Notamacropus eugenii: one gene and its partners. The protein of the gene in region 2 interacts with the protein of the main gene of each other region in a biochemical or structural test. Links are inferred from orthologs where the notes say so. Each region holds a gene or a part of one and is shown on either strand. Other genes may lie near its edges.

Region 1 (7,067 bases), on a different chromosome or scaffold from region 2:
GCATATTGGTCCGGATCCAGGCTCTGGGTGCACCCAGGAGGCACCTGAATACATAGGGAAAGCAGAGGAGGAACAGAGAAAGACCAACTTTGCCCACTTCAGGTTTTGCTTTGGGTTGGCCTCAGGTTTCAATAATTAATACTGTACGATGAAAAAAAAAGGCAGCTTTAGGATTGCCTTGTGTGGCTCAAACTCTGTCAGTCTGAGTCTGAGGTGATGACAAGCATCTCCAGCCCAAGGGTCGGTTCATGCAAACTCAAGCATGAGTATGATTATTGACACCAACAGGAAATCTTATCAGCAGCTCTCAGGCTAGGAGCCCTAGAACAAGAGCGCTCAAAAGGGCTAAGGCTTCTGGGTATGACATCTTTCAAGTAGATATTAACAGATAGTGTTTAAGCTTCTATCTGCCGCTGAGCTTATGTGCTGCCTTGGGCCAGTCCCATCTACTTTCTGGACCTCTTTTTCTTTATCTGTAAAGAAACTGTCCCTTCTCACTCAAAGGATTCCAGTTTAGCTTGTTTCTTTTCCAGTCTGCTCTTCTCCTTGAGGCTGGGGACAGGACATCCGTGGCATGTGGCCCAGAGGAAAGAACTATTTATTTTCATCCTGGAAGTCTGCAGCAATTTATGTGGCAGATCAGCCTGTTCATAGGCTGCCCTAGAATTGAGGGAAGGGTCAACCCCAAGGCCACAGGCAATACCAAACCAAGGAATGGAAATGGTACCAGTATAGGGGTGTGCCCTTTCTGAAGTCTGAAGAGGTGAAGTCCCAGCTAAAATCCCATCTTCTTCAAGGAAACCTTCCTCATTCCCCTTAATGCTGATGACTTCTCTACCTTGATTATCCCCTATTTATCTTACATACTTATTGTTTGCACGTGGTTGTTTTCATGTACCCCCCACTAGACCGAGAACTTGTAGAGAGCAGGGATTAATCTTTTGCCTTTCTTTGTATCTCCTGGGCCAAGTATGGGACCATGCACATAGTAGGCTCTAAATAAATGTGTTTTGGACTGACTGACTGAGATTAAAGCAGCACTTTCAGTGAAAAAGGAAACAATACATTCCGGGAAAGAGGTCTAAGGCTCGGATAGCTCCAACGAATATGAAAAGGCCTGCGGAGACTACTAGGTTGCCTTAGAGTGAAGACTTCCTCTTTGTTCTCAGTCATAAGACCCCCACCTGTCTTAGGGGAATGGTGACTTTCTGGTTTCTATAATAATGGGTTCCCAGGGAATCCAGGTTGTGAACTGGAATTATAAAAACTCTCACCTCCTGCTGGGGTACTCTACCAGCCTGGCCCTGGGTGAATTGTGGGAGGGAACCCAGAGGGGACCCTACCCTAATCTCCCTCTCTGACTCCTAGAAGGATCATTTCCTTCTTACTACTGATCCACACTGCTTGTTCTTGACCCAGTGCTGCCTTCTTCAAGAAAGAATCTTGCTATTGCTACATCTGCTTCATGACATTCATTCATTCATTCATTCATCATTCATTCATTCATTTATTCATTCATCCATCCATCCATCCATTCAACATCTGTTATGTGTCTGCCCTGTATTGGGTGAAATACAAAAGTTTAGGTCTGATACAATCCCTCTGTCTTTCTTGCTTTTCCTGCTCCTTGGGCTTACAGACCTGCCTTCACTATTCTTGAGTGCCTGTTTCCCAACTAGACAGATGTTGCCGAGTCACCTCTAAAATGACAGGCAGTTGGTGCTGCAGTGGATAGAGAACAGGGACTGGAGTCAGAAAGACCTGAGTTGAAATCTGACCTCACGAATATACTAGCTGTGTGACTCTAGACAAGTCACTTAACCTCTGTTTGCCTCAATTTCCTCAAAATGGGGATAATAATAGCACCTCCTTCCCAGGGTTGTTGTGAGAATAAAATGAAAGAATATTTGTAAAAGTGCCTGGATTGTACACAATGTTTATTCCCCTTTCCCTTCACTTCTAAAATGAGGGAACTGTCCAGTCCAGAGGGTAGATCTGGGCAGCTTGGTAGGTTGCAAAGGTTTTTTGCTGTAGGGGTTGGGTGGGGGTGGGGTAGAGGGGTGGACCATACACACCCAAACCCAGACCTTCTCTGAGACTCTCCCATCTCTCAGTAATGATCTCCTTGGAAATCAGGTACGTAGGTTGCTAATCCAAAACCAGGTGTTTGCAAGCAGCTACAGAGAATCTGGGCCTGAGGACTCCCATAATACTTTTAAGATTCCAAAAAAACCTGGTTTCTTCCCAGGGCTAGTCCAGTCCAAGTTAATTGGTGTGTTCAGTTTCCCCAATCCCTGTCAATTTGAGATGACAAGGGAGACTGAAAGGAGGAAGGATCTCCCAGAAGCAGGGGAAAATCCATTCTAGGCCTACATAGGAAATATGTTAATTTGTCTTAATATCTTAATCTTTAAAAGGGAAAAAAGGAATGCAGAGAATTGAAAGCCTCTAGGTTGAATGGGGGGGAGGGGAAAGTTGTCTCTCAGGTCAAAGGGGATCTATGTCTGTGAGACAGGTCTCTGTGGTAGTGGTGTATCTGTAGAAGTAGAGATTATGTGTTAGGGGGTCCACGTGTAGGATGTTTCAGGGTTTGGGGATGGTCTGTGATTCTGGTTTCTGGTATGAGGGAGTCTTTGAGTCCCCAAGTTTGAACTTTTTCTGGGGGAATCTCTCTGGGCTAAGGGTTCTGTGGGTGTTTGGAGGAGGGTGTTCCTGGACTGAGGACCTGGGTTTGGGGAATTGGGAGGGTGTCTCTCAGATGACAAGCCGGGGGGGGGGGGGGGGGGGGGGGCTGTCTTTGAGTTTAATTGTCAGTATCTCTGAACTGAAAGGTCTAGGGGAGAAACTCCTCCAGAGTTCATATGAATCTCTGCAGTCCTTGTGTTTTCGATGGCTGTGCCCCATGACTGGATTGTCTCCCTCCTCTCTGCTGCCTCCTGCCATCCCTGGCCCCTTTTTAAGAGGAGGCTCAAATCCGACCTTCTGCAGGAGGCTTTTCCTAGTCCTCCTACTTCTCACTTCCTCCAAGTACCTTTCCTATGTTTGCACAGTATATATCTTGTATATACAGTTCTTTGCCTGTAGTCTCCTCCATCAGAAGGTAAACTCGGTTTCTGCCTTTCTTTGTACCCCCAGCACTTAGTTCAATGTCTGGCACATGTTGTTAGTTAGCTGAGTGCGACTCTACTGTGAGCCCATGACATGGGAAAAACCATGGGGTTTTCTTGGCAAAGTACCGGAATCGTTTGCCATTTCCTTCTCCAGTGTGTCCTTATTTTACAGATGGGGAACTGAGGCAAACACAGGGGCGGCTGGGGTGGTCAGCCTTAAGTCTAGAAGACCCCTCAATTCAAGCCTCAGACACTAGCTACGTGACCGTGGGCAAACCCCGTTTGCCTCATTTTCTCCTCCGTAAAAATGGCAAACCATTCCAGTATCTTTGCCAGGAGAAGCCCATTACGGGGTCACGACTGAGCGACAAAGCAACTTCCCCAGGGTCACACAGCTAAGAGGTGTTCTTATAGAAACTCAGATCTCTCCGACTTCAGGCCCCGCGATCTCTCCAGGGCACTGCCTCGCTGCCCCTGACTGACATATAGGAAGCGCTTCATAAGTGCTGGCTCGGCAGGGCAGACGCTTTGCAACGCTTGGGGAGTTGGTCTGGGAAGGCGGGGGTGAGGGGAATCTCGGAAGCGTACCTGGCAGGGGTGGGCTTCTCGGAACTGAAGGAGAGGTGTAGGGGATATCTGGACTTAAGGGGTCTTGTGGGAGGGTTCCATCACCAGCTGGAACGGGGCGGGGCGGGGTTGGGCAGGGCCGAACTGGGCAGGACCAGAGCTTCCGAGTCCGTTCCTTCCCGGCGGCGCGCCTCCCGGACAAAGCCTGCGCATTTTCCTGGCGGTGATTGGCTGAGAGTGACGTGCTGACCGCCCCCCTTGGACACGCAGGCCGGGGCCGGCGCGCCGTAACCAATAGCAGGGCTCGGCGCCGGCGCTTCTCTGTATCAATCTCGGAGCTGCCAGCCAATGGGAGCGCCGCTACCCGGCTCGTGCCCCTTTCGCGGCAAAAAGGATTTGGCGCGTAAAAGTGTCCGGGACTTTGCGGGGATCAGCTGGAGAGACCAAAACAAGCTCCCAGCCCCGGCTCCGGTCCCGGGCATTGCTCTGTCCTCCAGTCTCCCGCCTCGGCTCCATCCGTCTGTACGGATCCCATCACTACTGAACCCCGGAGTCCAGGACCGCGCATGGGCCAGGGCCCTCTCGGAGCCTCCGGCAGCTCGCGCCCCAGCCCCGGTCCGGGGCCCTGAGCCCTCGCCGGGCAGGCCAGGCCGAGCCGGAGACTATGGATCTGGGATCCGGAGCAGGCTCTAGTGCCGAGACCCCCGGCAGCGGATAGTGCCCCGAGAGGCGACCGCGGAAGCCCGCCCAGCCTCGGGCCGCGCCCCGCCCCAGCCCTCCCGGCCCGCCGGCCAGTCCCTGTCCCTGGGATGTGAGCCGGTGCCCGGGGGAGCGAGCGAGCCAGCGGAGCCGCCATGGCCCTGGACGGCAGCGGCGGCGGCGGCGGCACGTGCGTGGCGGAGCTAGAGGCCCTGCTGGGGGCTGGGGGGCTGCAGCTGCTGGAGCAGCAGATCGTCATCATCTCCACCCAGGACGAAGGCCCGCTCAGCGCCGCCGCTGTCCCCGTCACCGCCGAGGGGCCCCGAGAGGCCGAGTTGCTGCTGTTCGCTACGCCCCAGGCGCCCCGGCCCGGAGCCAGCGGACCCAGGCCTGCCCTGGGCCGGCCTCCGGTAACTACTCCACTCCCCGCCCTCCCAGCACCATGGGCGGGCCTCGGCCCCGGGCATCTCTGTGAGCATGCATCTCCACGGCGGGACCCGAGCGCCAGGGGCCCTGGGCAGCTTTCCAGGGCTGATCCCACGGCCAGGAGGGCGGCTCTGCGGGCGGGGGCACGGCTGGAGGGGAGTCTAATCGGCTGTACCAGATGGATGGGTTTGCGCCAGAGGGAGCCCCCTTGCAATGCGCCTGCCTCCGGGGTGGAGCTGAGCTGTGGCCGCCTCACAGCGCTGGGGACTCTCTGTACCTTTGCCCTCTCAGAGAACGTGGCCTAGTGCTCCGAGGCCGGGTCTGGATAGGAGGGGGGCGGCGGTGGAAGCTGGCTTTCTCCTCCCACTGGACGGTGGGCTCTGGCCTTTAGATACTCCCAACCCCCTCCACTCAGTGGAGAGACCCGACTCTGGCTGCCGAAGGGCAGCCCTTGGCCTGGGGCAGAGCTGAGATTGAGGATGGACCCTGGGTGTCAGTATTTGAGTCTGTTCAAAGTCCTGTTTTATTAACCACATCACCGGTGGCAGTAAAATGAGGTGGTGGGTTTGTGTCAGTAGGAGTGGCTACACGCTGTAGAACAGGAGTGCTCTTTGCCAGGGCTGGAGTGTGTGTGTGTTTGGGGCGGGGGGGAGGGGGGGGCAGATCATAGTTGATTCAAGAGGAGGATGAGAAAGAATGCTGTGGGGTCCTATGCTTGCAGCTGCCCACCCAGTGCCCCTGTAACATCTGCTGAGTGCCCCTGGGTACTCGAAAGGTGCCCAGGTGTGGGCGCTGCCTTTCCCGGCTCTGCTCTCTTTGCCCCCAGAAATGGACCAAAATTGAAGTGGGCTGTTTGTGTGAGGCCTCGGCAAGGCGGGAATGGGTTCTGCCTCTCCCCCATTAGGGAATGAGGGTACAGCCTGGAGTGGCAGCTGATGTTCTCCCTCCCACCGCCCCCTCCATCTGTTGGTCCTCTCCACCTGCCTTCATATTTTCAAGGGGCTTGTTGCCATAGTGTCTAAATGCTCAGTGAACTTGTTCAGCTCCCCTAGGCCCCCTGGGGGAGGGGAAGGGAACGGGTGACTGAGCTGGTCCTTGGCCTCTGTGGTGTGGTGCCTGGGTGGCTGGGGGAAGGGCTGAATGAGGCAAGAGGGAGCAGTTGAGCTGCTTGTGGCAAGTAGTCTCCCTCCCTCTGCACCTCAGCTGCCCTGCCCCTCTCATCCCCCTTCCCTCCCTCCATTTTCTCTATGAACCTGTAGAACCTGGTTGGGTTCCCTTGGGTTGAGACCAAAGAAAGCTCTCTCTGCTGTTGGAAGCCAGACACCAGGCCCTGGGTTTGGCCTTAGTATCTGGTCCTGATAGCACTGAGACCCCTGGAGGTTGGTGGTCCTACCTAAGAGGAACTAATGTGGGAAAAGGGGGAGTTAGGAGAGCTGGCCTCTGTACCTGGGACAGTGAACTGTACAGATTGGGTTTGGCCTGGGATTCCTAGGACATGTTTTGTGGTCAAGTCAGAGTCCTAGGGCCTTTCCAAGGGACTTCCCCAAGGATATCTGGGATATTGATGAGGCTACTGGATTGTGTAGTCTGGAAGAAGGAGGAGGCGAACCCCAAACAAAACCTGTCTGAAAAATTAAAAAAAGTCTTGGCCCTGGGGAGTGTTGAGAAAAGGGAATTACAGCAGATGCACCAGTCATGTTGGGAAAACTTCCTGAAATCTAGGCCCTTCTTCAGCAGCCAGCGATTCCGATTGGCTGTAGTGTGTGTGTGGCTGTGTGTGTGTGTGTGTGTGTCTGTGTGTGTGTTGGGGAGGGAGATGAGACTGCAGTGGTTTTTTGGATAGAGGTCGTAGAAGGTCTCCAAATCATATGGCAAACCCCCACTGTGGGCTGTGATAAGGTGCCCTGCTAAGTTGGCTCTCCTGGGTAAGTCAGGGAGAGGAGATCCCAAAAATGATCTGCAGACCTACCTCGTGCCCATCTGAGTCCATGCCATATGGGTTTCCTGCCTTCCCTTATTGAACTGGAAAAGGAGCTGCATTCCCAGGGGACTGATAGTGGTGGGGAGTGGCACAGAGGCATCAGAGTGTAGAGGAGAGAGTCCTAGATTTGTGGTTAGATTTGTGGTTAGGAGCTGGGTTCTAATCTAACTTCCACCACTTATCTACTTATCCCTCTCCAAGTCACTTCCCTGGTTTCCTTATCTGTCACACAGGGCCTCATGCCTCTATATGGACTCTGATGTCTCCCTTTTCTCCTTGCCCTG
Region 2 (7,551 bases):
AAATGAACGCAGGCCAGTGGGCCGACTGGCACAGAGGGAAGCTGAAGGCAGGCCTGAAGTCCCCGGGGAAGGGGATCGGGCTCAGGATCCGGGCGCCGGAGCGAATCGAAAGTGAAAGCGACGCCGGGTCCGCAGCCCGGCCTCCACTGAGGAATGCGGCGGTGCCAGGAGGCCCAGCGAGCCCTTACCCCCCGTTGAAGGCGTAGGGCGAGAAGCGGCGCTGCACGGGGCCCGCGCTGCTATGAGGCTCCAGCTCCCGCTCCGTCCCGAGCCCCGGGTACGCAGCGGCGAAGGGGGCAGCAGACAACATCCCGCAGCGGTGGCGGCGGCGGCGGCAGGAACGGTCCTCTGGCTGCTGTCTCACCGAGAGATGGCTGCCACGCCGGAAATTAAGTTACTTCCGGATCCCGCCCCCGCCCGGCTCCGCTTCCGGCAAAGCCGCTCTAGCTCCTCTACACTCTATGGTCCGCTCCTGCGGGCACGTCGCCCCCTGCGGTTCGGAAGCGCTGTCTGGGGCTCCTTGCTGTGTGTGTGGGGGGGGGGGGGGGGACGTGAGAGGGAGGGGTTCAGGGAGGATCTCCCTTCGGAGCTAGAGAAGACTCACCGCCAGTGTCCTGGGCTCGAAGCAGGTGTTTGGCCTTACCTGTTCTGGGAAGCTTTACTAGCTCAAACCATGTAAAAATACAGAACCGACCTCTGAGTCCTGCGTTCAAGTGCTGCCCTTAACAAGCACAAGCCCAGAGGCCTCCGCTGAAGAGCTGTCCTTGGAGAAAGGGAGTCCCGGGTTCAAGGTTCAGCCCTGGCACCTACTGACCTCTCCTGACGCTGGCTCTGGGAGCTCCCGGAGGAGCAAGCTCCCTCTACCGACGCAATCGCACCTTCTCACCTGTCTCCGGTGTTGGAGAGTTACCCAGACGATGGAGAGGTTCCCTCCCACCCCCCATTCTTGGATGAAGATGTGAGGTCCAGAGTGCCTTGCCCAGGGTCTGACTGGTAAGGAAGGGCAAAATTCGAACCCAGGCCCTCTGCCTCCAGATCCAGCTCGGAGCCTGCTGTTAAACTACAGCTTTCAAAACTCAAAAGTTTATAGAAGTGAATGTTGAAGACTAAAAACAAATAAATAAATTTTAAAAATAGATAAAGTACCAGCTTTCATCAGGAGCCAGCACTAAGGGTTGGTCTGTTTCACTCAACCCAACAATGGAATGGCCTGGCAGCCAAGACATTGTATTCTGCGAGTAAAGTGCACTTGGTGGGGAAAATGTTTAATAACTCTTCAGCGACTGAGCTGGTCCGGAACAGTGTACTTTTGGTTTTGGAGGGGTTTGTGCTTTTATTTCTCCGATATCTTCTTCATAAAAATATTCTTTTGTAAAAGCTAAAATAAATAAAGTACCAGCTTTGCCCTTGGATTGATTTGCTTAATTCCTCCCAGACTCAATTTTCTCCTCCATGAAACTGGGGAGGGTGAGAAGAGATGATCTTTGGGGTCCCTTCCAGTTCTAAAAAAGTTTGTGAAAATTACCATATTGGTACAAAATCATAAAGACCAACCTTGCTTCAAAAAGAACATATAAAAAGGCATTTCCTTGCCCCCTCCCCCCCCCCACACACATTCCTTTGCATTGGGGTAACTGATCAGTGAAGAATATTACATAAAATATCTGATTTTTTTATGTCAATTTTGCTGAATTTTTTTCTTTTCCTCTTTTAAAAAAGTGGTTATAAGGGGTAACTGGGGAGGGTGAGAAGCTGGACATTGTATAAAGAGATGAGAAGCAAGCAGCAGCAGTGTGGCTCAGATCCCAGGAGGAGAAAGGGGTCTCAGTTCTAGCTTCTAGCCCACCCTGAAACTTGCAGAGTAATAACCAAGGCAGGAATTCCAGAGCTAAGGCCAGCCTACAATTCTGTTACTCTCAACCAGCAGCATTTCTCAGATGGCTGATAATAGCTGAGTCCAGCAGTAATCTACTACTACCCACACCAGGAAGTTTCAGAGGTCAGACTAAGCAGGCAGCTATCAGACTTTGCACTGAATCAGACAATTTTAGGAGTATTGAAAACTCCAAGCCTGAGTTGTTCCTGAGATTATGAAGTAACACAACATTTCAATATGCCAAGAAAGTAGCAGTAGAAGCAGCTCAGATATTCCCTCCAAAAGTGTACAGATCTTGGCCCTAAAATTAAGTCTAAAGTCAGAAAGGAAGCTTGAAAAATAAACAAACAAAAATCCCATCATGAAGAGTTTTTATGGTGATAGGGATGCTGAAGACAAACTCAGAAGAAAATTACCTCAAAACAACTACAAAGAAAAATGCAGCATAGGCCAAAAAAAAATTTAACCAGAATTCCTGGAATAGATGAAGCATACAATGACAACAACATGGTAAAGACACACAGCTTTGAAAGAATTAAGGACGCTAATCAGTGTGATGACCAACTACAATTCCAGAGTACTAACAATTACGTATGCTCCTCACTTTCTGATAGAGAGATGAAGGGCTCAGAGTGCAGAATAAAACAAAGGTTTTTTGGATGTGGCCCATACAGCTATGTGTTTTGTTTGACTTTACATGTTTGTACCATGTAACAACTTGTTTGTAACAGCTTTCTTCCTTTCATCCTCAAAGAAGGAGAGAAGATGGAATTTTACTTGTTGAAAAAAAAGGAAATATAATTTTTTAAAAGCAATGTTCAATAGGCTATTGGCAATGCAAGATCAGAGATCAGGGCAATGAATGGCACTAGATATATAGGTCTGCAAGTCATCTGCATAGAAACTTGGTAATTTCACCAGTTCCCAAGGATTTAAACATCATCTCTCATAGAATATTTGAGTGTTTTATTATTTATGTCTAACTCTGAGTCCTTTGTGTATATTCAGTTTCTATTAAGGACATACAAAAACCGTTCCACATTTGATAACCAAGAGACGACCCTAAACATGATCCAAGTCTTAGCTTTGCTGGAAATTTCTAAATGGGAGCAAACCAATAGAGAAATCTGACTTGATCTGAGGTCAGCCCTCCTACCTTGATGAATCTAGTCAATTTAAACTGACTCCCATGTTGAGGGGAGGGAGAGATCTGAGTAAAGGATACAAAATATAAAAGAGTTTATCAATAAATACTTGGGGCTAGGGAAATTTGAATTAGAGCTATCCCATGAACAGTCCTCAGAACTGCCCTTCTTTCTGATTGACCAAGTTGTTGGACAGCAGTTTCAGTTGTGTCTGACCCTTTATGACCCTGTTTGGGTTTTTTGGTAAATGATTTGCCATTTCCTTCTCCAGCTCATTTTACAAATGAGGAAACTGAGGCAAACCAGGTTAAGTGACTTGTCCAGAGTCACACAGTTAGTATCTGAGGCTAGATTTGAAATTAGGTTTCCATGACTCTAGGCCTGGTGCCCTGTCATCTGAACCATCTAGCTGCCCTCTAGTTGACCAGAGTGGGGAACTTTGGGGTCTACTTCTGGTCATGGAGTAACTTGGCACTGAAATAACTAGGTATTCTGGATGACCTTGGAAGGGTTTCTTAGTTCTCTCCATGCCACCATGACAGAAGTAGGGGGTGAGATACCATATTAGTTAAAAGAAGAAACAGCTTCAGTGTCTTTGCTTCAACTCTTCCATTGGACAAGTAATAAGCTATCTCTAGATTCTTCATGAAGATGGTGGAGGAATAGGTTATGTTCTTTCTTCCCAATCCACCAACACTGCCACGTGAGCGTTTGACCGGGTCCCTGGCAGCCTTTTTCAAAGTGACCAAACGTTAACTTTGAGGTGGATGTGTCTAAGCTTGCCTACGATCATGTGAGTTTAGGAAGCCTTTAGCTTCTTTGCACGTAAAACTGGAACTGGCTGGCGGTCTCAGGGTAGAAAACTCTGGGGATCTTGGATAAGCTGACTACCAACAAAAGGCCCGGGCCAAGCCCATCTCTTTTGCCCCCAGATACCTACAGAGAACTGTTTTGTTGCTTATTCTATGAAAAGAAGTGGGGTGGAGCAGTGATTTCTTAATTTTATTTGTATAAAACCTGAATTGAGGCAATTACGCGCTTTTTATGGGATTTATTTTTATGTGTTAGTGTTTACTTAGGGATTTTTAACTTTTTGATTTCTTTTTTCCTTAATTTTATCTTCATAAAACCTTTACAATGGCAATTATTTACCTGATTATTTTATAAAAAGGAGGGGGTGGAGTAGTAATAAAGACATTTTAGGAGGGGTGTGGCTAACAAAAAGTTTGAAAACCACAGTCCCAGGCAAAGTGCACCCAGAGTGACAAGGGCCCCGCTCAACTGATGGGAATGGGTGCCGTGAACACGCGCCTCTCCAGAAAGACCCAAGTGCCACAAGTAGCGGCTATTCAAGCCTCGCTCCAGAGACCAAGGCTGCAGCACCACAAGAGCTAAGCTAGCTACCAGCTCCGCCCACACACCTCCCTAGCACCGCCCACTCCCAGTCACGTGGGAGCGTTTCCGGAAGTGATATGACTGCCCACACTGAACATGGCTATATAAGTCAATGGCCGCAGGCGAGAGTGAAGCTAAACGGAAAGATGGCGGAAGTGGCGTCACTCGGCGCGCCGGGAGGTTAGGAAGGCCGGGTAGGCTTGGGTCGCCGTGGCGGGCGGAGAGACTGCCTCCGGCCCGACCTCGGGTTTCACCTGCCGCGGCGGTGGCTTTAGAGACTCTAGGTATCATTCTTTTGATTTCTTCCCTCGCTGGAGAGTCAAGAGGTGGGGAAAGCTGAGGGAGTGGACTCGGTGGGGGCGGTCGAGGCGACGGCCGCCGTGTCGCGCGCGGGCTTCTTTTCGGGAAGTGGGGGATGGGAGGAGGGTTGGCTGGCGCGCGGGAGGCGGCTGGGGGGCGGGGGGCGCTGCAGGAACGACCGGAGGGAGGCGCGAGGTGCTCGGGGGTTCACGGCCGGAGCGCGCCGGGCCCTGGACGCGGCAGCCGCTGGCCGCTCGATCGGTCCCCCGGCCCAGGGCATTGTTGGGCTTGGGGCCGTTTCCCGGTAATTTCCTCCAAAGCTCGGGGAAAGTGCGGAGGGAAGATTGCGCACGTGCCGGTGACCCGTGGAAGAGGCGTGCCTGCGGCTCGCTGCAGGCGGACCTGGGTGATAACCTCGATAGGACCCGAGGGGTAACCTGGATTCCCCTGACTCCCGGCGTCTTGGTGACCCTGGACCAGTTTCAGTGCCCCGAGCAGCCCTCACACCTTTACGTTCTCTGTAGGTGATGGTTCGAGATGATGGCGTTTTCTGAACCTTTCTATACCCATGAAATCGCTGGGTCAGTCCACAAACCACTTACTAAGTGACTTCCTAGAGGTTGGGAACCGTGCTAAAAGGGGGCATAGGAAGGAAGATGGACTACAGCCCGTGCCTTTCAAACAGTGGGAGCCCCTCGGGGAAGACAGCACGGTCCTGTAAAAGTCCGTACGAGATGCAGACGGCAGTCAGGGTAACTTAGTAGCAGCGGGGAAGTCTCAGAGGGGGAGAGAAGGGAGAGCGTTCCAGTGGTGGGGGATTGCTAGTGCAGTTGCACGGAAAGGGGAGAACAGCAAGGTGGTCACTACAGCTGACCTCCAGAGCCTCTGCAGAAGCAAAATGTTTAGGAAGACTGGAAAGACAGAGGGCAGGTTTCGAAGAGTTTTAAATGAACAGGAATGTATATTTGATCCCAGCGGTAATAGAGAGTCACCGGAATTTATTGATTCAGAGACTGACATGGTTCCTAGCAGCTTGGTGGTTCAGTGGACTGGACCTGGAGGTTCAAATCTGGTCTAAGATTTGTGACCCTGGGCGAGTCAGTTAACTTCTGGTTGCCCAAATCCACCGGAGAAGGAAATAGCAAACCATTCCCGTATCTATAGTACTGGTGTGCTGTGTCCATGGGGTCATGAAGAAGCGGACATGGTCAGACTTGTGCTTTTAGGAAGATCACGTTGGCAGTTGTATGGAGAATGGAGAGATACCTGAGACGTTCCAATTTAGAAGGCTAGCGTAATTCATTCAATAGGGTGGTGGTTGTGTTAGTTGAGAGAAGAGGACAACATATAGAGGAGATAATATGAAGATAAAAGAGACAAGAAATGGAAGGTAGTTGGTTATGTGGGGTTGAATGACTGAGTAGCGAATGTGGTTGGTGTGACTGCTGTCCTCAGTAACAGGGAAGGTTCCGGAAGAAAAGTTGATTGGTGGGGGGAGAAGAAAGGTCTATTTTGGACTTTCTGAGTTTGAGATACCTATGGGATAGCCAATTTGAAATGTCCCGTAAACACTTCTTGAAGCAAGTGGAGCTTAAGAGAAAGAGGAGGGTCAAGTGTTTAGATCTGGGAGTCTTCTACAGTAATTGAATACATGGGAACTGATGAGATCAGCAAGTGAGAGAACAGAGTAATTAGTATTCCTCTGTCCTTTATTTTTCCTTCCTCCCTCTTAAAAAAGTTAGCCTACTTCAGAGGAGCTTGGCCTTATTCTAGATCCTCTCTAACCCTTTCTACTTGTCCAAATTAACTCTCGAACTGGAATGCTGAGGTGCAGGTATAGCGACATTAACATCCCGCTGGGGAACTGATAATTTTTTCAATATACTGTATAATTTAGGAAATAAATGCCACTTCCAAAACTCCATAATCTATGGGTCTTTAGTCTCTATGCTACTGTGATAGCCCAAGTTGAAACACTATCTTAAATTTCTCTATAGTTGTTAACAGATTTTCTCTTGTAGATGCAGAACTTAGCACATGGTAGGTAGGTACTTAGTAAACATTATTGATAGATCATGCTTGTTTGAGTTCTATCATTCACATACTATTAACTACTTCTTAAGTTGAGCCTTCCCCTTAAGAAATCTTTGATCACCAAGAACAGCTGATAAGTAAAATTTATTTTAAATGTTTATGTCTGTACATTTTTCACATATTCAGTTCATATTATATTCCATATCTACTACATGAAAAATACTGTACTAGAGACACATGAGGCAGCTAGGTGACTCAGTGGATGGAGTATTGGACCTGGAGTCAGGAAGTTGTTGTTCTTGTCGCTCTTCAGTCATGTCCCACTCTTCATGACCCCATGGACCATATCACTACAGGCTCCTTTAGTGCTACAGACCACTATCTCTCAAAGTTTGTCCAAGTTCATATTCATTGTTTCCATGACACTATTTATCTGTCTCATCCTCTGCTGTCCCCATTTTCTTTTGCCTCCCATCTTTCCCATCATGAGAGTCTTTTCTAGTAAGTTCTATCTTCTCATTATGTGACCCAGACTATTTAAGCTTAAGCTTCAATATTTGACCTTCCACTGAATAGCCTGAATTAATTTAAGTATTGACTGATTTGATTTCTGTGCTGTCCAAGAGCCTCTCAAAAGTCTTCTCCAGCAGCGCAATTTGAAAGTGTCAATTCTGAAGTGTTCAGCTTTTCTTATAGTCCAACTCTCAGAGCCATACATTACTACTGGAAAAATCATAGCTTTGACTATATGCACCTTTGTGGATAAGATGAAGTCTCTGCTTTTTTAGTATGTTGTCCATA
Region 3 (7,319 bases), on a different chromosome or scaffold from region 2:
GGCGCCTAGGTCAGAGAAAGGAAGAAGGGAGTGGGGCGGGAGGGGTGGGAGTGGGGATGGGGGTGACGTGAGAAGGAAAGGAGGTAAGACAGGGTGGAGGTCAATTTCTGCGACGGCGCCTTTTAAAATCCTAGAATCCCAAGTGACTTGGTGGATTTCACTGTGGAGTATCCTGCTTCGGCCCCACTAGATGAGGGGAACTAGAGAGCAATGAGTTGGGAACTTTGAGATCTCTACTATATAGAAGGCACAGAAGCCCAGACTTCAGGTCTGTCCAAGGTACCAGGGGAGGGGAAGGGATTTGTCCCTTTAAATACATTGCAGTTTGGGGGCAAATGTTCATAGTGCGGAGCTGAGGAAGCAGGAAAACTTCTGCTCTAAACTCTCATTTGGCTGAAGCTCGAGCACTATGCTCTCGAAGGACTCGCAAAGCTCCAACAATTTCTTTTCCATCTTCTAAATTGCATACCTCCTCCACCCAGCATTTTAGCGCTCAGGCTGCCTCCTCAATACCCTAAAGTCGAAGGCAAAACCACGGTCTATGCAACCTTTCCTCGGGTCCCGACCCGAATTCCAAAGTAGCTCCTGCGAAGGACGGGGATCATAGCACTCCTGCTGCCTCCCGGATTCCTCATCCCCTAGACTCCTTTGCTGCATTTGCACCAAAATAAAATGCTATGGGTAATCGGTTTTCACAGCACATTCATTATATTAAACGGTTACTGTTTGAGACGCTAATTGCGCAATATCGTTATCTAGCGCCAGTGTCCTACTGAGCAGCTCGTTTCAAATAAACACACAGAGCCACTTCAGCAACTGCTACAAAGCAAATTAAAAACAAAACGGGGGGGGGGAGGGGGGATGGAGACTAAAAACGGATGGAGCAGGAGCCTTGTCTATCTCTCCTACTTCCAGGGAGGAATTTCCTTGCTATGGATTTATTAAAGGAACCGAACCTAGAGAAAGGATGGAAAGAACTTTGAGAGTATACCTGAAAAAATGTTCCCTTTGCGAACTCCAGACAGACGTACAAGTATGCTTTCAAGAGACGAGGGAGAGAGGAAAGGGAGGGAGGCAAGGAGGAAGAGGGGAGAGAGAGAGAGAGAGAGAGAGAGAGAGAGAGAGAGAGAGAGAGAGAGAGAGAGAGAGAGAGAGAGAGAGAGACGGACGGACGGACGGACAGACAGACAGACAGACAGACAGACAGACAGACTTGGGCAGACACAGATACGAAGGGACAGAGACAGACAGACGGACGTAGAGAGAGAGGCAGAGAGACAGAGTTAGATGTTCATAAAAGAAAATCTGACAATGCTTAGATATTCAAAGAGTGTGAGAGTGGAGGGGTTAGTCAACCGAAGTCTTTAAAATGCCCCTAAAACAGTGGGGCTTGAGTAAGTTAAAGGGGGATGCAACAGGGAAAAGGAAGGAGAAACTCCAATCTTTGTACATTATCTGTCTCTGGGAAGACAAGTCCTTGCCAGGATATGAATTACAATCAACTTGGTTCTCCTGTGATGCCATGATTAAAATACCACCAAGTATGAAAAAAATGTAAACACTGAAGTTCATTACTGCGAAATAAATATGGCATAATCATCTCATCCTGTCATACACTCTGGGCTCCCCAGTCAAAGCTCAATCCCAAGAAATGGAGCTAAGCTAACTTCGCCAAAACCCCTTCAACACCCTCTTAAAACTAAAACTGTGTACATACATACATGAATCTAGATACATCTTTTCCCTTCCTCTCCTCCCATCCCACCTCCTCCCCATTCATATTTTCACCAGAAACAATACGATCAAAACCCTGAGGGATTGTTGCGATCAGCGACTCCAACAGCACATTATTCTTCTCTCCAGTAACTCTTTTCTGAGAGCCGGCAGCAGGCGGGCAGAGCCATTCAGAGAGGGTGCAGCCCAAGATCAATAGGCGGAAGGGGTTCTATTATTACAATGATTATGATGGGTACTTGGAATTTATTCCTATCTCTAGATTTCTCTCACACACTGATACACACGCCTTCATTCCTACTTAAAGCAAAAAGCCGGGGAAAATCCTGCTTGTTTTCCAGCCTTGACCGAAAAATTAAAAAATAAAACCAGAATTTGTGGAAAATATCCTGAGGAGGGGTAGAGCAAACTGAAGCTGTCAGGCTGAATGGGTTGGGGTCTCAAGGCTAAGGCGGTTTGCTCCCTGGAGGAGGGTTAAAGTCTTCCACAGTCCCACTCCAGTTGAAGCCTTTGATCAGGCCGCTGCTGGCGCCTAAAAACAACATCACTTGTCTGCCTATTAGAGGCACTGACTAATCGGGACAGATTGTTTATTCTCGCAATTAGCAATGCTGCTGCTTCTAGGAAAGAGCAGAGGCTGCTCTTTGCTCCTCAGATCAGCCCAACCCCGCAGCCTCGGGGCAGAGAGCCGGCCAACCTGGAGCAAAGGGGCTTTTCACCTAGCGGATGAAACTGGAGGGCTCTTAAGAGAACTGATGGCCTCTTGGTAGGGCTGAGCTCCCCTACATCTTGCGAAACCGCTTAGACTCCCAGATCTCCCAGCTCCTTGGGTCCCTATCCCCCAAACCACGTTGAAATTTAAATGAGAAGGTGAAAGCTTCTACCTTCTCCCGGATTTGCTCTCAGTAAGCACGCCCGGAAGACCCAAACTTCCCTGCTCTATTCAGGTCTGTAACGAACCCGAAGACATGATGTAAACTTCCAGTTAGGCTAACAGGCGAATTTTACACACGGAGGCGCCAGGGCCTTTTAAAAATATCCCACAGGATTTGTACCCCCTCCTAAAAAACAAAAAAAACAAAAACAAAATAGGAATGGTGGCTGTTCACACCCCCTGCACAGTGCACAAGATTATTCCTTTCTCCCAGACCTGATTTCTTTTGTGTTTCTAAAGTTTCTTCTCTCATCCATCCGTTTTCTTAATCTCTATGAGCATAATCTACAGCCTTTATTGGGCCCAGTTAAAAGGAGAGGGAATTCTCTGTCCCACAGCCTTAGAGATAATTACCCCTAAATGGCTGCTAAAGCCTCTTGTGTTTCTAGGAGATTAGAGCCCTGTAGCCATCAATAAACTTTTCTCAGCGAGCGGCCAATCACGTTATTAGAGAACCGTTCCGTTTTAGTGCCGGTCCATCCTGGTCACAGGGATAAGAGATCATAAAAATGGGAGGGGGAAGACAGAATAAAATAGTCAGGTCTCTAGTGCTTTCCGAGCACAGCCTGGAAGAGTCTTAGTTCTAGTGATGATGGTTATATATGTATGTATGTATATGTACACACATTAATGCACATATATTAATATATCTGTATATATTCATATTGTAGATACACATGCATATATATGTAGCATAAGATGACGTTTCCTTCTAAATGGAGAAATAAAATCATTTCACACCAAACACAAGGGATAACCAGAGTTATGTGGGGACATTTAATTCTCTATTTTCCCATCCTGCACTTTTCTCCACCCCACTGGGGGTGCTTTTAAAAAAAATCTAAATATGTATGTATATGCAGAAAATTGGTAGGATCAAGTTGTTTTAAAAGGCTTGCCGTTTGAGGTCACTCTGAGGACAGCCCTGGATTTTGTTCATGTAGGTGCTGGTTCTATTTGGATAAGTCTTAAATCAGAAAAGAGGCGCACCCCCCCAAAAAAATTCCTCCCACCATCTCAGTACTTTGTATGTAATGTCACTTAATTCCAAAACAGGAGGGAAAAGTGAATGTGAATCACTCCTTTCTGGTAAAGTTCTGTTTAGAAAAAGTGCATCTCTATCCAGGAATCTTTGAAGTTAGGTTGCTCTTGGTCTTGTTTTGCTTTCATAAACTCGAACAAAGAGACATAGACCGCTGTGTCCGAAGAAAGAACGAATCTCACCATCTGGATAAAAAGGTAAACCAAATCCAAGAAAGAGAGGAAACATGAATACATTGGAATAAGAGACAGAAAAAGAGAGACACTGGAGAAGAGAAAAGGAAAGGGAAGCGAAGGAGAGGAAACGCAAAAATATTTAGTTCGGAGCTAACTTTCCCATTCACAAAACCCTCCCCCGTCTTCTTTCTCTTTTATTCCTATACCCCCACCCCTATCCCTATCCCTACCCCACCCCCATCTCCTACAGCTAGCTCTAGTCCATCCCGAACAAGAAAACTGGAGAAGGTTGTCAGTAGGTAAGTCCCGGAGCCCGAGGCCCAATGGAGAGCTCCTGTTCCTCCCCTCTCTACCCTGATTGGCCGGGAGCAAGCTTGCTTTGCCTTATTAACAAGTCCTACTGGGAGCCGCGACTGGACAGTACCCAAATCCCAGAGAGCGAGAGGCAGAGAGCTGTGAGTTGCTAGCCGCTGAAGCCTGGCATTTTGGGAAGAGAGCAGAAGAAAGGGTGGGGAACCCGAGAGCCAGTGCGTTTCTAAGTAAAAACTGCCCAGGAAAACTTCCCCAACCCCATGGTCGGTGGCGGCTTCTGCTGCGTCCTGAGGCTGGAAGGGACATCTGCTCTGTATGGCCCCGGCTGTTGATATGACTTCTTTACAAATCGGTGTCAAAATCGAGGAGTCTCCTGTGTCTGCCTTCAGCAAGCCCGGCGGTGGGGGAGGCGGCGGCAACAGTTCGGGAGGCGGAGGGGGCGCCCAGACTCCCAGCGCCTCGGCGGCCGCTATGGGGGGAGAGGAGGAAGGAGAGAAGCCGAAAGTGCCCCCTTCCCTCCTGCCTTTCAGCGTAGAGGCACTCATGGCTGACCACAGGAAGCCAGGGCTCAAAGACGCCCTCCCCGGGCCCGATGGGCCCCAGACAGCGGGAACTTCGGCTCAGTCCCTGGGCACCAGGGTCGGATCCTTAAGCGCCGGGGCTGGCCCAGAAACGCCCGCTTCTCCTCTGTCTCTCAACAGCCATTTTTCGGTGGGAGGACTCATAAAACTGCCGGAAGATGCACTTGTCAAATCCGAAAGTCCTGAGAAGCAGGAGAGGACCCCATGGATGCAGAATTCCAGATTTTCCCCACCTCCCCCTAGTAAGTAGGAAACTTGGGATGGCGGTCCTTGAAAAATTTTTGTTTTTGTTTTTGTTTTATAAAGGTAGGTAGGTAGGGGAGATTAGAAAAAAAAACATGTATGCGTGTACAGTCATGTCTGTATGCATTTGCTTGTAGACATGTACGGGTATGCATGTTACAATCACAGTTTCAGGGCTTGAAGACCTGGGAGTCCTTCATTTTGCAAATGGGGAAACTAAGTCCTAGAGAAGAATGATTTGCCCTAGTCCACAGTTAGTAAGTGGAGAAAGTCCGGGTCTCCGGATTTCCAGTTACAGTTCACCACACAGCATCGTCCTTTCATTTATAACGGACCTTTTGAGTTTTCTTAAAATGTGAGACTGGGAAGCGTCAGTCCTAGGTCTGGTGGGAGGCCAGACTCTTCTGTGAATGTTCCCTCCCCTCCCGGAACTCTATGGTTGTTGGTGAATCCCACTTGTGGGTAAATCATTTCCCAACATCCTATTCTTCCTACTCCACTGTCCCCTTGCCCCTCTCAGACCAAAATCAACCGAAATGGGGCAGGGAGGGGCGCGGGGGGGAGAGCGGGGAGTGGAAACCTCTGTTGTCACATACGTTATCCGAAGTTGTTTGTGTCATTTTTCATGTTGGTTGATGCCTTGGTCTGTCGCTCCAACCACTCCTTGTCCCTATTTCCCCCACCCCCGCCCACCAGTTAAAAGAACCCCTTCCTCTGGATCTAGTTTGGCTGAAGCGTTTGCAAGTTTCCTAACAGAAGGTCAGCAAGCTATTTAGGGAGTGAGGACATTCACTTTGGTTCAAAGGATACTTTAGAGACCATTTAGTTTCCTGCTACCAAAATGCTTTTTGGTTCGGGCAGCTGAGTACAGTGAGCACCCAATTTTAACTTGAACTGTCTTCTGGCACTCTGCTAACCTGCTTTCAATTAAGTGGAGCTGGAGCGATTGGGAGATGGGGGTGGTGGTGGTGGTCATTCCTGTACACACTCCCTGAACTTATAAAGATGGTTGTGTTCAGAAGGATTTAAATAGCACGGGAAATTCCCAAGTTTTCCTCATTTCCTTCGATTATTACTATTTTTTGTGTGTGGAATAATAGAAGCAATTCAATGCCGTGATCTTTAAGAACGATTTTATCTGGGGATTAAAATTCTTTGAAATGAAAGCCCCTCCCTTCATTTAACGACTAAAGAAGGCCGACAAAAAATGTTATGACTTCACTGCAGGGTAATTATGTTTCATCTACTAGACTCCTCTGGCTTCTCTGCTTTTAGCTAAAACTCAGGGAAATTTTTCATTGAATTCAAATGCTTAAATATCCTCTTCGCTCATTTTTTCCCTAGAGTATCTTCCTCCCATTGAATTGGGAGAAGAGAGGGTGGTATTAAATGATAGTTTGATACCACTCTTATCCCTACCCACACAGTCAATCCAAAAGACATTTGAAATTTCCTGTAACACTTAAAATTAGAATTTCACTTTCTGGAATTCATAAAGTTACCTTATTTTTTTCAGAATTGCAACCTTTCCTAGAGAAGCCTTCCGGCAACTCTGCTGGGGTGCAGAGCCTCAACCAGAATAGCAAGAGTTTTTCACTTAGAATTCTTAATTAATTACGTGTTTAATCTTTTTCTCCTGGGCCAGAAGAACGGGCTATGTAGGTGCGCTGTGCTAAAGTTGTCCAATTTATGTTCGAAGTTAGCTCTGCTTAGAATCTAGGATTTTCTCAGCAGCACAATTTCCTGAACTGTCTCCTTATGGTTTTTCTATTCTGGTGATGCAGACTCCCTGACTCTCCTTAAATCTATTTGGTTTTGCACGGAAAGGAAAGGACACAGTTTCACTCCCCGGGGGTTCTCTCCTGTCTTCCTTATACAGGCCAAAGAAGGTCAGGTTAGGTCTCTTTTCGGGACAGAGGGGATCAAAGCAAGGTAAGGCAAGGGCTGACACTTGGAGTGCCAGGCCTGGAGGACACAGGAGACATTAAGGAGGTGAAAGCTTCCGTGGGAATCGGTGGGAATTTTTTGTACCCTTTGCTGTGCATTACTAATCAGTGATCTCTCTCTCTCTCTCTCTCTCTCTCTCTCTCTCTCTCTCTCTCTCTCTCTCTCTCTCTCTCTCTCTTCTCTCTCTCTGTGTCTCTCTTCACTTTATATTTTCTCCCTCTCTCCCGCCCCTTCCCTTCTTTCAGGGCGGCTCAGTCCTCCGGCCTGCACGCTTAGGAAGCACAAGACGAACAGAAAACCTCGGACTCCCTTCACTACGGCACAGCTGCTGGCTCTGGAGAGAAAATTCC
Region 4 (7,942 bases), on a different chromosome or scaffold from region 2:
CAAAGAAATGATTTCCTTGACAAGTGGAAAGAGATGCTAGCCAAGAGCAAAGCCATTTTACATTATCTTAGATGGTGGCCTAGGAAGAGTAAAATTGTGTTTTAAAAAGTGAGACAGCATACAGAAAAATAAGTTTATAGAAAGCTTGGTAAGAGACCCAAATAAGCAAAAGTACTTGGAATATTTAAGGATGAAACTTCACTGAGGAAAAATGGAACACAGACATTAAAAATTCTTAAAACAAAAGCTTTTCACCACAAATCTGGACTCTTAACTCATAGTCTCTGAAGTGCTGCATGAAGAAATAGAAATGGCACCAGAGAAAATAGGTGAGACAAAGAGCTAGTTTAGACCAAGGACACCCAAAACAGTTTGTGGCTGGAGGTAACACAATTTTGAGGTCACTGAGGCATAATAGACTTTTGAAGCACAGAAAGAGGGGAGAACAACGAGGACATGGGAAAAAAATTGGAATTTATTATCTAAAAAAGGCAACTGGGAAAAAATATCAACTCTGAATTACTTTTCCACATCTACAAAAATTTTGAGAGCATAATCTACACATGCAGCAAGGAATATAGTTTTTCTTTTTGCATAGTAAAAAATGATTCCACTCATAAAATTTGAATAAATTTATATGCTTTTAACATAGTCAAAGCTAGTGTTCATTCCAACACACCACAAGAAGGCAGGGACCCATTAGCAAAATAAAATAAGACAATAAGATAATTGTGAGATAAATTACATGGCATAAACTATTAACAGTTTGGGACTTTACAGAAAAGGGGGCTACTGAGTCCTGGAACAATCAAGGAAGGCATTATAGAAGACCTACAACCTAAGCTAATAAGCCTTGCATGTTATTGGAGAATACACCTGTAGGGGATTAGAAAATCCACTCCCTAACCCTTCTCATGAAATCCTGAGGGAAGAAGTACAAAGTCAATTCTGTTCTGGGAAACCAGCTCATCATTGGGAGAGGGAGTCAAGGGCCACACAGTGTTGTTATCTCACTTGCAACAGAACTTTCCAATACGTTAACAAGTTAAGACTCCTCACTATCCTCTAGGCACACCATGCTTTTTCACCCTATTTACCGCTTTAGCTCCTAAGTTCTCTTTGTCTAGAATGTCTATTTACCTCTGTCTAAAGCTAGGTCAACTCTTCAAGGCCCAGCTCAAGTGAAAGCTTCTCCTGTCCATTCCCCCCCACCCTTAGAGACCAGTGGCAACGCAGGTGCATATGAGTAAAACAGATTTTTTTTTTTAAAAAGTCAACTGATTCTCAAGCATATTATTTTCATGCTAGTGGGTTATTAGAAGTTTACCTTATTTCCATTAGTCTCTGCGACAATCCAAGAGGAAATAGCGCACTCCTACGAAGTAGTAGATAGGAGAACTCCTATGAAGACCACTAGCCTGACATGGAGTCCAGAAAAAGCTGGGTTCCCACTCCCTCCTCAGATACGCACACAGTCGTGTATTCCTAGACAAGTCACTTAACTTCTTTGTACCTTGGTTTTTTTCGTCTGTAAAATAAGGGACTAGATACCCTCTAAGGCCCGGAATGTACTTTGTATGCACTCTAAAAAGTTATAAGAGGCAGCTAGATGGTGAATGCTCAGAACACCAACTACCGGTTCAAATGTGACTCAGATCCTTACTAGCTGTGTGACCCTGGTCAAGTCACTTAACCCTGATTGCTTCAAAACAATTTTTTTTTTTAAATAAAAAAACCTTTATCTAACCTAGGGTTTTTGTAATCTAAATCTGCCATCCTATGACTTCCCTCTTTCTCATCAAGGATCTTCCTTTAAAGCAGTATTTTAATTACGCATCCAGAACCTAGCACTGGAGGCAGTAAGGCATAAACAGAACTCACTCACTCTACACCATCAAGGGACCCTGGTCTCGGGGCTGTTCGTTCCTCCCCTGGGGAACCTCCACCTCCCTACTCGGAGTGTTTTCGCCCTCCGTGACTGCTGGATTCCCTAGCTTCCTGCAGGTCCCGCCTCTGTAAGAAGCAAGCCTCTCTCCCAGGGCTCTTTAATCTGGGTTCTTTCCCAGAGACCGACCCCAATCCGTCCGGGCAGTAATCTCGTTGGTACCTGGCTACGGGCATGGCAGACCTCCTCGGGGAGCTCCTGGCGGGCAGGACCTGCTCTGGCCTTTCTCTGGCTCAGTCAGCATAGTGCCTGGCACATAACAAGCGTTTAGTAAGTAAAATATCGACCAGTTCCTACTAATAATACGTCAGTATAACGAGTCCTTATTTATTAGCCCCCACAGTGTGCCAGGCACTGTGCTAAGCGCTAGGAATGCAAAGAAAGGCCCCAAACTCGAGGGCTAACAGTTTAACTGAAGGCTCTGCGGCGTGGGAACCACAAAACTTTACCGGGTCCAACTGTCTTCGAACTAAAGGACGGTCTAAAGGAAGACCCCGGCCCGGGTGGCCTCCTTCACCCTCCTCTCCTTCCACACCCTAATAGGGTCCCCTCCGCGAGGCCTCGCGGCCGGGCCACAACTGAAACCCCCCAGGACTCCAGTGAGACCGCAGGGCACGGCGCTCTTCTCCTCCGTGAGCCTCAGTTTCCTCTTCTGTTAACTGAGGGAGCTGGACCAGCGCTCTGCGAAGTGCCTGGCTCCCAGCAGGCCCTCGGTACGAGCTCGTGGACTCGCCCAAACGTTCCCTCCCGGCTCGCTCGGGTCCTGAGGCCCCGGAGCACGCCGCAGGTGAGCCTGGGGAGAGAAAGGGGCCCGGGAGGGAAACCAGGGGCCCAGGGAGGATAGCCAGCGGCAGGGAAAGGACCAAGACCTAAGAGGCACTAGGGGGTGATGGGAGGAAGTGAAAGCCTGGTGCGGCGCAGAACCCGGGGCTCGGGGAGCCCCACTCACCAGAGACAGGCGGCAGAAGCCGGGAGACGCACGCTCAGCAGGCGAACCAAGGGCCGTCCACAACAAAATACGTCACCAGCGCGACGCTGACGCCGCCGAGGGCCCGCCGCGCAGCCCTGCTTCCGCTTCTAGCCCCGCTCCTCCCGGTTCGAGCCCCGCCCCTAGGCCCCAGCCCCGCCCGCCCGCTGCGTAGGACGGGCAGTCTCCTCCTCCCAGGAAAGACTGCTCGTAAATACATCTAACCAATCAATGCTGCAAAAAAGAGAGTCCTATTCCCATTAACCAATGAAATAGCGGAGAAGGCGGGGTATGGGGCGGTACCGTGTTCAAACAAGGTCTGTGATTAGTAGGTTCTCTATCAACCTGCCCTAGACCGGGAAAGGCTTGCTATTAACCAGTGGCGGCAAGATGGCGTCGTTGGATCGGGTGAAGGTGCTAGTGTTGGGGGACTCAGGTAAGTAGTCCTGGCTTTGTTCTCTGCTCTCGACCACGCAGTGGCTGCCGAAGTTCGCTTCCTTCCTCATGGCTCTTCTCCCCGCTTTTAAGTTTTTCGGCTGGAGTCAGAGGCTCCGTGGGAACGGAAAACTACATTTCCCAGAGGGCCTAGCTAGGGAGGTCGCTTGTGTGGGCGGGGCTCCCTCTTCCTTGGCTCCCATGCTTTTGGCCTACTCTTAGTTGTGCCTTACTTCTCCAGGCGTTTTGCTTCCTTTCTACTAAAAGTACGTGAACGCCTGTGAGGGTGTTGTTGGGGCAGGAGGGTCTGCATCGTTGGAGATCGTAGTCACAGGAATGACAGCCTAAAACTGTCAAAATACGAGGGGTATACAAAAAAGAGGAAAAGGCTCCCTGCCCTGAAGGAGCTTACCATCCAGCGAGAGACAGAACATGCCAACAAGTAGTGACAAAGCAAGTTATATCCAGGACAAAGACGGGAAAGGCAGTGTCATTCCAAGGGGTTGGAGGTAGGATACTAAGAGGTACGTAAAGGAAGCCAGGGAGGTCAGTCGTTGGAGTGAAGGAGGGAATTGACCACCGAGTTAACAAAAACCTTCATTAAAAATCCAAAAACCATGCTTGGACTGCTGCCTGGGGCCAGGCCAACTGGATCTAGGCTATGAACTGCAGTTTGCTGACCCTCGGTTGGGAAAAGGGATCTTGGAATTGCAAATTAAATTTCACGTCAAGTTTATCGATCACCAAAAACACCGCTAACATTCACACTTCGCCTTGCCCTGCTGTTTTCTTCCTTCTGTCCTATTGACCCGGCAAGACTGTGTTTAAGCACCACTTCCATTCCTCCGTCCTCTGCAGCTTTACGTTTAAGTCATGTATCTGTGCAAACCAGACACTTGGTTCTCTATTCCGTTAACCACCTGACAACACAGTCCCAAACCGGCTTGGAAAAGGGCACTAGGCTGATTGGGCCGGGATTCAAATCCTATTTAGACTGTGGGCGAGACTCTTGGTCTCAGTTCCTTCATCTGTAAAATAAGAGAGTATTCATAAATGAAGGGAGTCAGTATGGTGCTTTCTACTAAAAAACAAAAACCCCAAACTGATTTTAGCTTACCTCTCTCACTCCCTCTTACTATAGAATAATTCCTCCAGGTTCAAGAGACTCTGGATTTGCATCTACTCAGAACAGAACAAACCTCTACTGATGTGTCTGTTTCTTCCCTAGTGAGCCTGAGGACACATTTATTTTGAAGAAAATGCACTTAATAAAATAGCATAATAAGGAATGAACAATAGATCTTCCCCCCCCCACACTCTCCCTTTCCCCAATAAGGCAACATATACTCTGCCATACCTATATACATTTTCAGTGGAGAGAGTGAGCAAACGTAGAGATCATGTTTGAGGAGCCCACGCTTGGGGAACATATTTTGGGAGTGAACTGCTGGGCTCCTGATGAGTTCTGGTCATGTGCTTTTGACTGAGTCGGTGTTGGTTTACTGGGCTTACTGCCCCTACTCCTGCCTGGAAGCAGCACCTCTGCTGGACTCTGTCAGATGCTTTTTGACTTTAGTCTGCACTCCCTCCAGCTTCCGGCACAGCCCTTGGATGCTGCTGCTTGAAGAAAGAGCAGAAATCATTATATTAGAAAACCTCCCCCATCCTGCTTCTTCAGAGTCTCAAACTTGAAGCTTATTTTCCCTCAAGCAGGAGATTCTCAGCCCCAAGGGCTAAGCTCTGGAACAGTGAACAAATATCCTAGACCTTTTCCTTCTCTTTAATCATCCCCAGCCCTCTTCCTTGTAGAGGGCTGGGTATTTTAAAGGACCTCACCTGGCTTACGGTGATTGTCAGATACACTTCCCCAGTGTTCATCTTTGCAGGGTAGGCTATAAACCATATAAAAACCATAGGGTCATAGAATTATAGTCTAGCACTGGAAGGTCCCTGTAAACTTACAGGTCACTAGAATATACCCTCCACGTGAGAAAGGACTCAAAAGTCAAGTAACTGACTGGAAAAATGCCCTAAAAAGGGGGGAAAAAATAAAACTATAGAATGTTACTTTCTCGGTGAAAAGGTATTTTCTTCCATCCTTTTGGATGAGGAATAATAAAGCATGCCATCGGAGGAAGACATCAAAGTCAAGGTTTCTACATCTAAAACTTCCAAAAAAAAATATGCAGTGATCTCAAGTCATAGAAGAGCTCAAAAAGGTTTTTGAAAATCACCTAAGAGAGGTGGAGGAAAAATTGGGAAGAGAAATGAGAGCAATGCAAGAAAATCATGAAAAGTGAGTCAATAGCTTGTTAAAGGAGACCCCCCAAAAAATGCTGAAGAAAATAACACCTTTAAAAATAGACTTACCCAGATGGCAAAAAGAAATCCAAAAAGCCAAAGAGAAGAAGAATGCCTTAAAAAGGCAGAATGGGCCAAATGGAAAAAGTGGTCCAAAAGCTCATTGAAGAAAATAGTTCTTTAAAAATTAGAATAGAGCAGATGGAAGCTAATGACTTTATGAGAAATCAGGAAATTATAAACAAAACCAAGAGCATGAAAAATAGAACTCAATGTGAAATATCCCCTTGGAAAAACAACTAACCTGCAAAATAGATCTAAGAGAGATAATTCAAAAATTATTGGTCTACCTGAAAACCATGATCACAAAAAAGAGCCTAGACATTATCTTCCAAGAAGTTATCAAGGAAAAGTGCCCTGATATTCTAGAACCAGAGGGTAAAAAAGAAATGGAAAGAATTCACTGATCACCTCCTGAAGGAATTTTCTTTCCTAGGAATACTGTAGCCAAATTCCAGAGTTCCCAGGTCAAGGAGAAAATATTACAAGCAGCCAGAAAGAAACAATTCAAGTATTGTGGAAATACAATCAGGAGAACACAGGATTTAGCAGCTTCTACACTAAGGGACTGAAGGATTTGGAATATGATATTCCAGAAGTCAAAGGAGTTAGGTTGAAAACCAAGAATCACCTACCCAGCAAAGCTGAATATAATACTTTAGGGGAAAAATCAAATTTCGATAAAATAGAGAACTTCCAAGCATTGTTGTTGAAAAGACCAAAGCTGAATAGAAAATTTGACTTTCAAATACAAGAATCAAGAGAAACATGAAAAGGTAAACAAGAAAGAGAAGCCTTAAGGAACTCATTAAAGGTGAACTGTTTACATTCCTACATGAAAAGATGTTATTTGTAACTCATGAGACCTTTTTCAGTATTAGGGTAGTTAGAGGGAACATATATGTATATACATATATATATTTACATATATATATTTATAGGTGTGAATGGGTATGTATGTATGTATGTGTAGGTGTGTATATGTACATATGTGTATATATGTATGTGTGTATATACATATATACACATATATTTGTAGGTGTGAATGGGTATGTATGTGTATATTACGCATGTATAGGTGTATATATGTACATATGTGTATATATGTATGTGTGTATATGCATATATATATATACACACACACACACATAGAGACCACAGGGTGAGCTGAATATGGAAAATACCTAAATAAAATTTACTGTTGAATGGAATATACTAGGAGTAAGAGAAAGGGAGAGGTAGAATATAGCAAATCATCTCACATACAAGAGGGAAGAAAGAGCTTTTACAATGGAGGGGAAGATGGGGGAGATGAAAGGAAATAAGTGAGCCTTACTTTCATGGGATTTGGCTTAGGGAGGGAATAACACAAACTCAATTGGATATGGAAATCTATTTTACCCTGCAGGAAGGCGGGGGGAAGGGGATAGGAGAGGGAAGATAATAGAAGGGACAGCAAGTTGGGGAAAGGGATAATCAGAAGCAAAAACTATTATGGGAGGACAGGTCAAGGGAGAGAATGGAATAAATGGAGGGCAGGATAGGACAGAAGGAAATGTGTTTAGCCTTTTACAACATAACTATTATGGAAGTGCTTTGCATTGTTACACATGTATGACCTATATTGAATTACTTGTTTTCTCAGTGAGAGTGGGTGGGGAGGGAGGAAGAGAATATGAAACTCAAAGCTTTAATAATGAATGTTAAAAATTGCTTTAGCATGCAACTGGAAATTAAGATATACAGGCAAGGGAGTATAGAAATCTATTTTGCCCTACAGGAAAATAGAGGGGAACGGGGATGGAAGAAGGCTGGGTAATAGAAGAGAGGACAGACTGGAGGAAGGGGTGGATGGGGTGCATGCTGTCCTGGGATGGGGGGTGGGGAGAAAATTTTAAATTCAAATTCTTGTGGAAGTGAATGTTAAGAACTGAAAAATAAATTGTATTTTTAAAAAAAGGTCAGGGTTTCCCACTGCATCTGGGGCCATCCCCAGTCATCCTGGTCTGCATATTGCCACTGAGTGGAGATGTTTCAGGTGAAGATGAGGCTGGTGACTTTGCACAACACTGCCTCACTTAAATCTAATTCACTTGCAAATGGAAACATAACCCTTCTTGACTCATTGGTCTTCTTTGAGAAGGAAGGACCTATGGTAACTTGAGGCCAGTCACTTAACTTTTCTTAGCCTCAGATTCCTCATCTATAAAACCTAATCCCTGGGAGGAAAAGGG

The links.
Region 1: the proteins of TBP (region 2) and E2F1 form a complex in vitro, tested with the Homo sapiens proteins (2 studies listed by BioGRID). The link is inferred for Notamacropus eugenii from reciprocal best matches to the Homo sapiens genes TBP and E2F1.
Region 3: the proteins of TBP (region 2) and MSX1 form a complex in vitro, tested with the Homo sapiens proteins (2 studies listed by BioGRID). The link is inferred for Notamacropus eugenii from reciprocal best matches to the Homo sapiens genes TBP and MSX1.
Region 4: the proteins of TBP (region 2) and GTF2E1 form a complex in vitro, tested with the Homo sapiens proteins (3 studies listed by BioGRID). The link is inferred for Notamacropus eugenii from reciprocal best matches to the Homo sapiens genes TBP and GTF2E1.

The regions. Positions count from the first base shown.
Region 1 is NC_092872.1:417,786,154-417,793,220, reverse strand, and holds the start of E2F1 (transcription factor E2F1), read left to right. Parts: upstream 1-4,057; 5' UTR 4,058-4,531; coding exon 4,532-4,786; intron 4,787-7,067. UniProt on the Homo sapiens protein: Transcription activator that binds DNA cooperatively with DP proteins through the E2 recognition site, 5'-TTTC[CG]CGC-3' found in the promoter region of a number of genes whose products are involved in cell cycle regulation or in DNA replication.
Region 2 is NC_092873.1:267,360,817-267,368,367, forward strand, and holds the start of TBP (TATA-box-binding protein), read left to right. Parts: upstream 1-4,523; 5' UTR 4,524-4,742; intron 4,743-4,856; exon of another isoform or gene 4,857-5,236; intron 5,237-6,014; exon of another isoform or gene 6,015-6,106; intron 6,107-7,551. Other genes in the region: PSMB1 (proteasome subunit beta type-1), read right to left, coding at 189-310. UniProt on the Homo sapiens protein: The TFIID basal transcription factor complex plays a major role in the initiation of RNA polymerase II (Pol II)-dependent transcription.
Region 3 is NC_092877.1:61,337,115-61,344,433, reverse strand, and holds the start of MSX1 (homeobox protein MSX-1), read left to right. Parts: upstream 1-4,314; 5' UTR 4,315-4,513; coding exon 4,514-5,021; intron 5,022-7,214; coding exon 7,215-7,319. UniProt on the Homo sapiens protein: Acts as a transcriptional repressor. Capable of transcription autoinactivation.
Region 4 is NC_092876.1:345,122,150-345,130,091, forward strand, and holds the start of GTF2E1 (general transcription factor IIE subunit 1), read right to left. Parts: upstream 3,046-7,942; 5' UTR 2,895-3,045; intron 2,195-2,894; exon of another isoform or gene 1,328-2,194; intron 1-1,327. Other genes in the region: RABL3 (rab-like protein 3), read left to right, coding at 3,303-3,348.